Drosophila melanogaster: one gene and its partner. The protein of the gene in region 2 purifies or fractionates together with the protein of the main gene of each other region. This does not show direct contact. Each region holds a gene or a part of one and is shown on either strand. Other genes may lie near its edges.

What was found.
Region 1: the proteins of Taf5 (region 2) and CG7049 purify together in Drosophila melanogaster (affinity purification with mass spectrometry, with the first as the bait; one large-scale study listed by BioGRID). This does not show direct contact.

Annotation. Positions count from the first base shown.
Region 1 is NT_037436.4:174,585-178,251, forward strand, and holds CG7049 (uncharacterized protein), read right to left. Parts: upstream 1,645-3,667; 5' UTR 1,620-1,644; coding exon 609-1,619; 3' UTR 528-608; downstream 1-527. Other genes in the region: Vdup1 (vitamin D[[3]] up-regulated protein 1), read right to left, coding at 2,106-2,495, 2,562-2,744, 2,798-3,253.
Region 2 is NT_033778.4:10,876,778-10,881,481, forward strand, and holds Taf5 (TBP-associated factor 5), read right to left. Parts: upstream 2,897-4,704; 5' UTR 2,829-2,896; coding exon 714-2,828; 3' UTR 535-713; downstream 1-534. Other genes in the region: nclb (no child left behind), read left to right, coding at 1-439; Pex6 (peroxin 6), read left to right, coding at 3,230-3,256, 3,551-4,063, 4,127-4,704. UniProt on the Drosophila melanogaster protein: TFIID is a multimeric protein complex that plays a central role in mediating promoter responses to various activators and repressors. May play a role in helping to anchor Taf4 within the TFIID complex.

The DNA of each region.
Region 1 (3,667 bases), on a different chromosome or scaffold from region 2:
TCTTGAGACTACTGATCCAACAGAAAGATCTTTAACTTAAAAGCATTTCTTACAAGGTAATTTCAGCGCCGACTTTTATAAAAAAGCCATCGATGGCTTAGTATGTATCGATAGTAATCGATAGCTCTTTTTGCTCTTTTCTTTAAACAATTGACATTCCCAATTTTTCCTTGAGCTAAAAACTTAATAATCGACAGTTTCAGTTCAAAATGTACGGATTTAAAGTAATTCCTAATTTGTGACGTTTTTATTTAAAAAATTGTAATAGAAAAATCAGTATTGAATGAAATTTCAGTTATTCAAATGAAGCCCTATTGCCTTATTTAAATTTATGTTGTAAGATGTGTGTCCCATGGCTGAACATAAAACTGATTTGTAATTAATGTTCATATAAACTTCCCAGTAGATGACAGCCGGTTCCGCCTAATAGAGAAACGACGACTTCTCTCGTCTTCAGTTTATCCCAAGTACCAGAATGTGGAGGACTTCGCACATATGTATTACGCGAAGCGACAAGACGTACATTTCGAATGAAAGTCTTTATATTTGGTTAATTTGTTGTATTTGTAAAAATAAAAGAGTTGTGAGGAATTTCCCACGATGACAACTCACGCATTCTTGGCGCACCGAAAACCCAGGTTACCGGCTGAACTGTCTTCTGTGTTCTGCGAGCGTGCCGCGCACCTGTACCTGTAGCAGTAGGACTTGTGACACAGATAAGAACCGCCCTTCTTGACCCGATTTGGATTATCGCTAACGTCATTTACGTCCCACAGATCTGCCGTCCACTCCCAGACGTTGCCCACCATGTTGTGCAGGTCGTAAATATTCTGTCGGAAGGCATCCACGGGGCTGGTGTACTCAAACCCATCTTCAGCCAGGTTGCCATCGGGAAAGTCTCCCTGCCAGATGTTCAGCCAATGTTCATTCCTTGGCATCAGCTTGTTGCCCCAGGGAAACAGTTTGCGCTCCTTGCCGCCCCTGCAAGCCGCCTCCCACTCCGCCTCGCTGGGCAACCGCTTGCCGGCCCACTTACAGTACTCCACAGCGTCGCGCCACGATACGTGCACTACCGGGTGTCGGCCTAAGTGGTCTATATCGCTGTCCACGCCATTTGGATGTCGCCAGTTCACGCCGGCCACTTTGTACCACCAGACAGCGCTCGCCACTCGGAAGTCCTCTAGGTTCTTCTGCTCCAATGGGCTCAAAAGGCTCTTAAACAGAAAACTGTCGCCATATCGCTCAGCCTCCGTGGTGTAGTTAGTGTGCAGAACAAACTTCGCAAAGGCTTCGTTGGAAACCTCATACTTGTCGATGTAGAAGTCATTCAGCTTCACCTGCCGTTCCGGAGCCTCGCGGTCGGCCGGAAAGTGCGGTTTGTCAGTACCCATGTAAACCGTGCCTCCCGGAAGCAGTGACATGTCCGCAATATTTGGCTCCAGTTCGCCATAGTAATCCCGGTAGTGGCTGTGTGCACCCTGTGCTCGTTGCTGGCACACTTGTCCGGAAATGGACGGCATATCCGGGGCCTTCCGGTCGAGCTTTTGGCAGCCACAGTCGCTGGATACGTCATTGAATAAAACTATCCAAATAAAGAGGACTAATATAATTGTTGTCATCTTAACGTGCAGTGTGGCCCTTTTTAGTTTTGGAATCAATACTTAATTTCGCGAATTTAAATTCCGAACAAGCCAGCTTTTTAATAGCATACTTTAGGCTGTAACGTTTTAAACAATTTATTTCAATTTCAACAACCATACTTTTGGGATTATTATTATTATTATAACCATTTAGTAGTAGTTAGAAGGTTAATGAGTGCAGTTTTACCATTTTAATAATATATAACCTACAATATTTAGGTTTTATAAAAAGTTATGTATATGAGCTAATTATAATTTATCAAAGTCTGGTCTTTATGTTAACTTTCGTTTGTATTTGTTATAAATTCTTCAATCATGAACAAATTTTTGGGAACGGAAGACCTACAAATGCAAAGACCAGAAACATTAAAAAACGTTAAGTATAAGTTAAATAAGTTTAAATTGTTGTATGGCGCAAATCGGTCTTAACAAGTTGTGATACACAGCAATCCTAAAAGCTGCGGGCTATGCCTCGATAGGCTTCTCGTGCAGCCAGGGCCGGAATATGGGTAGTGTGGACGGATAGTGGGTGTGCGTGTCCGGCTTAAGCACCGATTCCGGCCAGGTGTTGGCATTGACCGCATCACCGGAGTGTCGAAAGGGGTACGTCGCAAGCACGATAGGAAGCTGTAGCTTAATCTCCTTCTCCATGGACTTGGGTTCGATCACGAAGAAGACGTCGTAGGATATTTTGATCAGGTGGCAGCCATGAAGATTGGTCGGCGGCAGGGGTGGAACGTAAAGCTCGTTGTGCCACTCGTCTTTGGCCCCCGGACGGATCTTGCCACGAACTAAAACAGCCAGCTCCCGTTTTTCCGTTTGCACCACCTTCCCCCGCGCCAAATACTCGATGGTCTAAATAAAATCCAAATAAGATCAAAATGGATGAATTGTAACTAGCCACTTGAAAGCGATACCGACCTCAGTGAGGGATGCCTTAGTCCGTTTAATGGACACATTACTGTAGTTGGATATAAATGCGGTGACCAGAATATTCTCGCCGGGCACATACCCACCGCGATCAAGGGACACTCTGCACTTTATCTGACCTCCACCAACACAGACGACGCCTAGCTTGTGCTCAACTTCGCAGGTGAACGGTTGCTGAGTCAGGCGAAAGGTTAGTTTTTTTAAACAGGGTTTTTAAAGCTACTTACTGCTAAGATGGGCTTTTCAAGGTTTAGGTCGATGGGATTCATCACAATGAAGACCTGGTGGTTCTTATGGATAATGCCATTGTTCTCGCGGAGCGCCGCCTTGCAGTAGAACTGAATCCAGCCGTACCGACCGAGAAATGTAGATGGAAGACCCAGTGGCAAGCCGAGTTTGAAGGGGAAGCTGTGAATTCCTGGCGAGAGTATAGCTGGACCTCCTTGGTCTACGTCCCCCAGAAGTCGCATCCGAAAGTCGATATAGTTCTCCTTATCGTATGTCCGCTCCTGTCGCCGCCCGTTGCGCACGACCCCTTCGCCTACCACATGGAAATGAAGTCCCAAAGCAGGCGTCTCATCCTGCAATTCGATTAGAACCCGTCCGGAGAGAAACTGGCCCGGGAAGTACAGGAGGGAAGTGTTGTCGAAGATGATAAGGAATTTAAGCAACTTGCGCGGCATCGTGCCTCTGTTTTGTTGCCGATTTCATTCGTACGCCTAAGGAAAAACCAACGAAATTCGTTAGAACACGGTTGCCAAATATTTGACCCGCTCCGCACGCGTCATTATGGTTAATGACAACTTATCCGTCATAGCTGGCTAGGTCTGAGACCATGTACTACGGACTACGGTCTCACATACATACGGCGCTTGTTTGCATATTTATGTGGGTAGCATCTAGGCGGGCAAAGGAAACAAAACCAGTTTCGTACGGCCAAGAGATGGCTGCGTGCACAACTATGCAGCACGAAAGCCCCGAACACTTAAGCATCAACTGCAAGGTCGGCGCATGAAGCATGTCGGGCGTGTCACGCCCGCGCCTACAAATTTGGGCAAAACTCCAGTATGTACATCTTTACCAAAAGCGTAAGCTGC
Region 2 (4,704 bases):
CTCGTCCAGCATTGAGTGGAAAGTTGACGGTGAAGTGGAGAAGGTCCTGTGGCATCCCACACAGACCGACTACTTCATCGTGGGCACCAACGATGGCACCTTGCATTACGCCGACAAACGTTCTCCTGGACAACTGCTGTGGTCCGTAAAGGCCCACAACGAGGAAATCTCCGGTGTGTGCTTCAACAACCAGAAGCCTAATCTGCTGACCTCCACCTCCACGGAGGGCACCCTAAAGGTGTGGAACTTTGATGGCACAGAGGCAAAGCACGTCTACGAGCACGAGTTCAACATGGGTCGCTTGCAGTGCATGCGCCAGTGCCCCGAGGATCCCTACACCCTGGCCTTCGGCGGAGAGAAGCCTCCGCGCTGTGCGATCTTTAACATCAAGAACTCGATAGCCGTGCGCCGAACGTTTGGAATCCCTGATGCAGAGTAGGCAAATCGTACAGCTACGTATTTATCTGTGTATATGCTTTATATGACTTTTAAATAAATATGAATTATATATAAGAACCTTAATGATTGACTTTTATATTAATTAAAATTTATTGATAACTTGCGCATATATGCACTTTACACTTTTATGCTTAAACAACTAATCGACATTTCAGGGGGGATGGGTCACAAACGAAATACAAAACATTAATCCTAAACATTCCGAGCATTCCTTAACACTACATTACGTATACCAAATAAGCTTATCTGTGCTCCTAACTCTTGAATAGACCCACGCACATCAGGAGATTTCGGCGCGTAAAGTGCAGGCTGACAAATGGCGAGTTCTTGCTGGGGAAAGTACGCATGAGGTAGACGTCCTCGTCGTTCTCATCCTGATGGTGCGACACAGTGATGTGATTGCTGATATAGTCTTCGGTAACCTTGTGAAAGTCCCACAGAGTTAGATTGTTATCCAAGCCGGCTGCAGCCAGGACTGTTCCATCGCGACTAAAGGTGATCGTGGTCACAGTGCTAGTGTGCCTCAACAGGGTGGTGACCAGGGATCCGTTCGACAGATCCCAGATGATGATATTGTGATCTACTGAACCCGAGGCCAGATACCGGCCGCAGGCGGAGAAGGCCAGAGAACTCACCGATCCCTTGTGGCCCGTCATCAGGCGTACCGACTGACCGGTCATGTTGTCCCACAGGCGTACCGTGCGATCGCTAGAACCGGTGGCCACATAATTGGAATTGGGATGAAATTGTACACAATCCACGTCCGACAAGTGACCCACGAATACGCGCAACGCTTGATTGGAATCCGTGGCCCACAGACGAGCAGTTTTGTCGTACGAACAAGAAACAAAATAGTAGCCATGCGGCGCAAAGCGAACATCCCACACCGGGTAAACGTGCCCGCGGTAGGTGACTACGCAGGACCAGGTGAGCAGAGACCACAGCCTTATGGTGCTGTCCTCGGAACATGAGAGCAACAGGTTCATCTCGGGGGCAAAGGCACAGCGGTATACGGGTCCGGTGTGACCCATTAAGCTCCTGGTTACCTCACCACTTCGGTCATCCAGCATACGCACATTGATATCCGCCGATTCCTTGTCCAGTTCGCGAAGGGAATCTGCATCCTTCAGCGTACGCAGCTTCGCGGGCGTCAATGACCAAATCCTCACGCTAGAATCGCCAAATCCACAGGCCAACATCGTGGAATCGTCTGAAATCTCGGCACAGGTTACGCCCTGATGGGAATTAAGCACCGTGTAGAAGACGGCAGAGGGCAGTTGATCCTTGCTGAGGGCTAAACGCTTGCTGGCTTCCCTGAGAGCCTTAAGCTTTAGCAACTTGTCCGAATCCTTCAGTTCCGGCAGGGGAATTCTGTCGATGGATGGAGCATTCGGATCCGACTTGGACTTTTTCGACAGCAGGGGATCCTTTTTTGGCTTTTTCTTTTTCGGACGATCCGGGGCATCCGGATCATCGTCCTCCTCCTCTGGTGCCGGCGCTGGAGTGGTCAGAGTCTGAAAGTCCACCTCCTTGAGCAGTCCGTAGTACACCCGCATTTTGTTGTCCTGTCGCTTGGCCTCTCCGAGGTGCGAGCCCGCGGTGGCGACGCACTGCAGCTTGTTGCGCGCCATGCCCTCGTATGTGTCGAAATGCAAGTACTTGGAAACAATATCTGCCACCACTTCCTGCCGGCGATCCTGAATGTGTCGCTTGAACAGAGAGTGCGAGTCCCTGGACATGCGAATGACAAACTTATCCTGCTCCATGGCTACTACGAGGTCATTCTCCAGCAGCTCCTCGGGCTTAGACAGCAAAAGAAGGTTGAAAAGACCCTCTATGTAGTAGCCGTCGAGATCGCATTTGTACTTCTCAATGAATTCTTTGGCCTTCTCCCTTAGTCCACTGGCGAGGATCTTGAAGTAGATCTGCACCAGAATTGGGTACAGAACCATGGACAGCTCATGCTTGTATATGTCCAGGGAGTCCTCAACGAAAGTGCGCAGCTCCTTGTATGCCTGCTCATAGTGCTGAGCATCAAAGCTGTCGTCGTCGATGAACTTGGCCAGTTCCTCTGCAGCATTGGCCTCCGTCACCGCGGACTGTTTATGACCCTGCGCCGGAGATTGGACATGTTTCCGCTCCCGGTTGGCATCGCCAGCTCCCAAAACTGCGCCCAGCACCTGCTGAACATCACTTTCGCTGATTTCCGACAATTCCACACTGCTCACATTCGCCTCTTGGCAGAGCAGCTCCTCAGTGCTCTTCAGCTGGTACTTTTTGATGAGTTTCAGCAGGCACAGCAGCTCACGCTTGTCGTGGGACAATTGAGTACCGTTTCCCCCGTTTATATTGCTCACTTCCAGGCTCATTTTCGCGGAAAATTGAAATATATGGAACTTGTGTACTATTTTGTTATGCGTGGAAAAGTGTGACCAGGTTGGCATCGGTTGAAAACGGCCAAGTGGAGAATGAAATATACTAAAATGCACCAAGTACAGTCAAAATATACAGTAGCCACTAGCGAAGACGGATTCTAAAAATAAATTGTATTAATACATTATAAATTATATCTTTTTGCCAATTTTTGGAATTACTTAAAATATAATGACATATTTCATTCTTTCATTTTACTACAAAATTAATATTTAACTTTTATGCAGGTCAAAGAAATTATTTGAAGATGTGCTTATAAAGGTCTTACTGTGGACAGCTGACTGAATACTTTTAGTATTTTTTGAGCAAATATCTTACCAGAATCAAAACATTCGTAATGAAGAGGAGAGTAATTGTGAAAAAGGTAAAATACAAAGTAACTGGCCAAATAAACAAGCTAATTTTTATAGCAGAGGGTAATAATTTGCTGTGCATTAACAGAATTAACTTGCCATTGCATATTTCAGTGTATTTGTCTGGCGCCTATCCCCCAACTCCTTGAACTTTGACACCGCCTCCTCGAAATTAACCCTTGTACTCGTGCTTTCTGTTGTGTTTAGTCCATATTTATTGTAAAAAATGAATGAAAATGATGATGCGGTAGGTCCATATGTAACATTTAAGCCATATTAGCTAATATCGTGATCAATTCCCGCAGAAAAAAGTCGTCGGCAAGCGGAATTCGGTGTCGTTCGATCAACAAGATCCAGGACAGCCGAGATTTAGCTTCTCTGGGAGAGTACAGGAGCTAGTCGAGGGCTACAATTCGGCCATACAGCTGCTGGCGCCCAAGTGGCCCTGGTTCCTCTACCCCGGATATCTGACATACGCCGTATACTGGCGTTACGCCAAATATTACAAGGGCAAGTTTCTGCTGACCCCCATTCCGAACCGCCTCTACGATCTGCTGATCAAGAACGAGCAGATTAAGTCGGAGCACCTGGTGTTCGCCAGTCAGGAGGTGTACGAAAACTATGCGGAATCGCCGGACGTCAACTTTGTCAACTTGGTTATCCGCGGCAGGAGGGTAAGAATCGGTAAGCCGCTAGCTTCAGACGAAGGAAATATGACCCAAACGGTTATCAAGCAAATGCTCCAGGAGGCGCCGCATACGATTGTGGCCCAGATCTTGCCGGCTGCACAGTGCCAACCCAATTGTCTGTACGTTCAGGTGGGTATCTAGTTCTAAATAAATGGAATATTTTCTATAATTCTACATCGTGTAAAATTTCAGGAGAACTTCTACGGCAACATATTGGATCGCTTTCAAATCCGCTCCAACTGCTGGGTGCAGGTAGAGCATTTTGCCGATGAGCAGACAATACCTGGAATAGCAACCAAAGCACATGTGTACTTAGTCGCAGATCCCCATGAACTTCCCGCCGAACTGACAGAGGTCATCCTGAGCAACTATTTCAATACACCTCGACTCATGCATCGTGGACATACCTACCGCATCGAGGTGAACGCAGAGTTGGTGGGCACTGCGACTTATGCCCACTATTACCTGATATTCGCTCACCTACGCCACGTCCACCTAAAGTGTATTCACCTGGAGACAAAGGGCAGCGAGTTCGAGCTGCAAGCGATTGTTGCCAAAAACTTTAGCAACCTTGTTCAAGTGCCTGCATCTCACAGTTTCCTGCCTCGTCAAGTGCTTGACAGCATGGCCATCGTTGAGAACTATCCAAGTGGACTTCGAAAGCCCTATAAGCTGTTGCGCTCCTCAGTAGATGCTTTCCTGCCAAAAAAGTCCGCCTGCCTGTCGTCAAAGCACATATTTCCTGTGTTCCTCCTGCAAGGCGAGCGAGG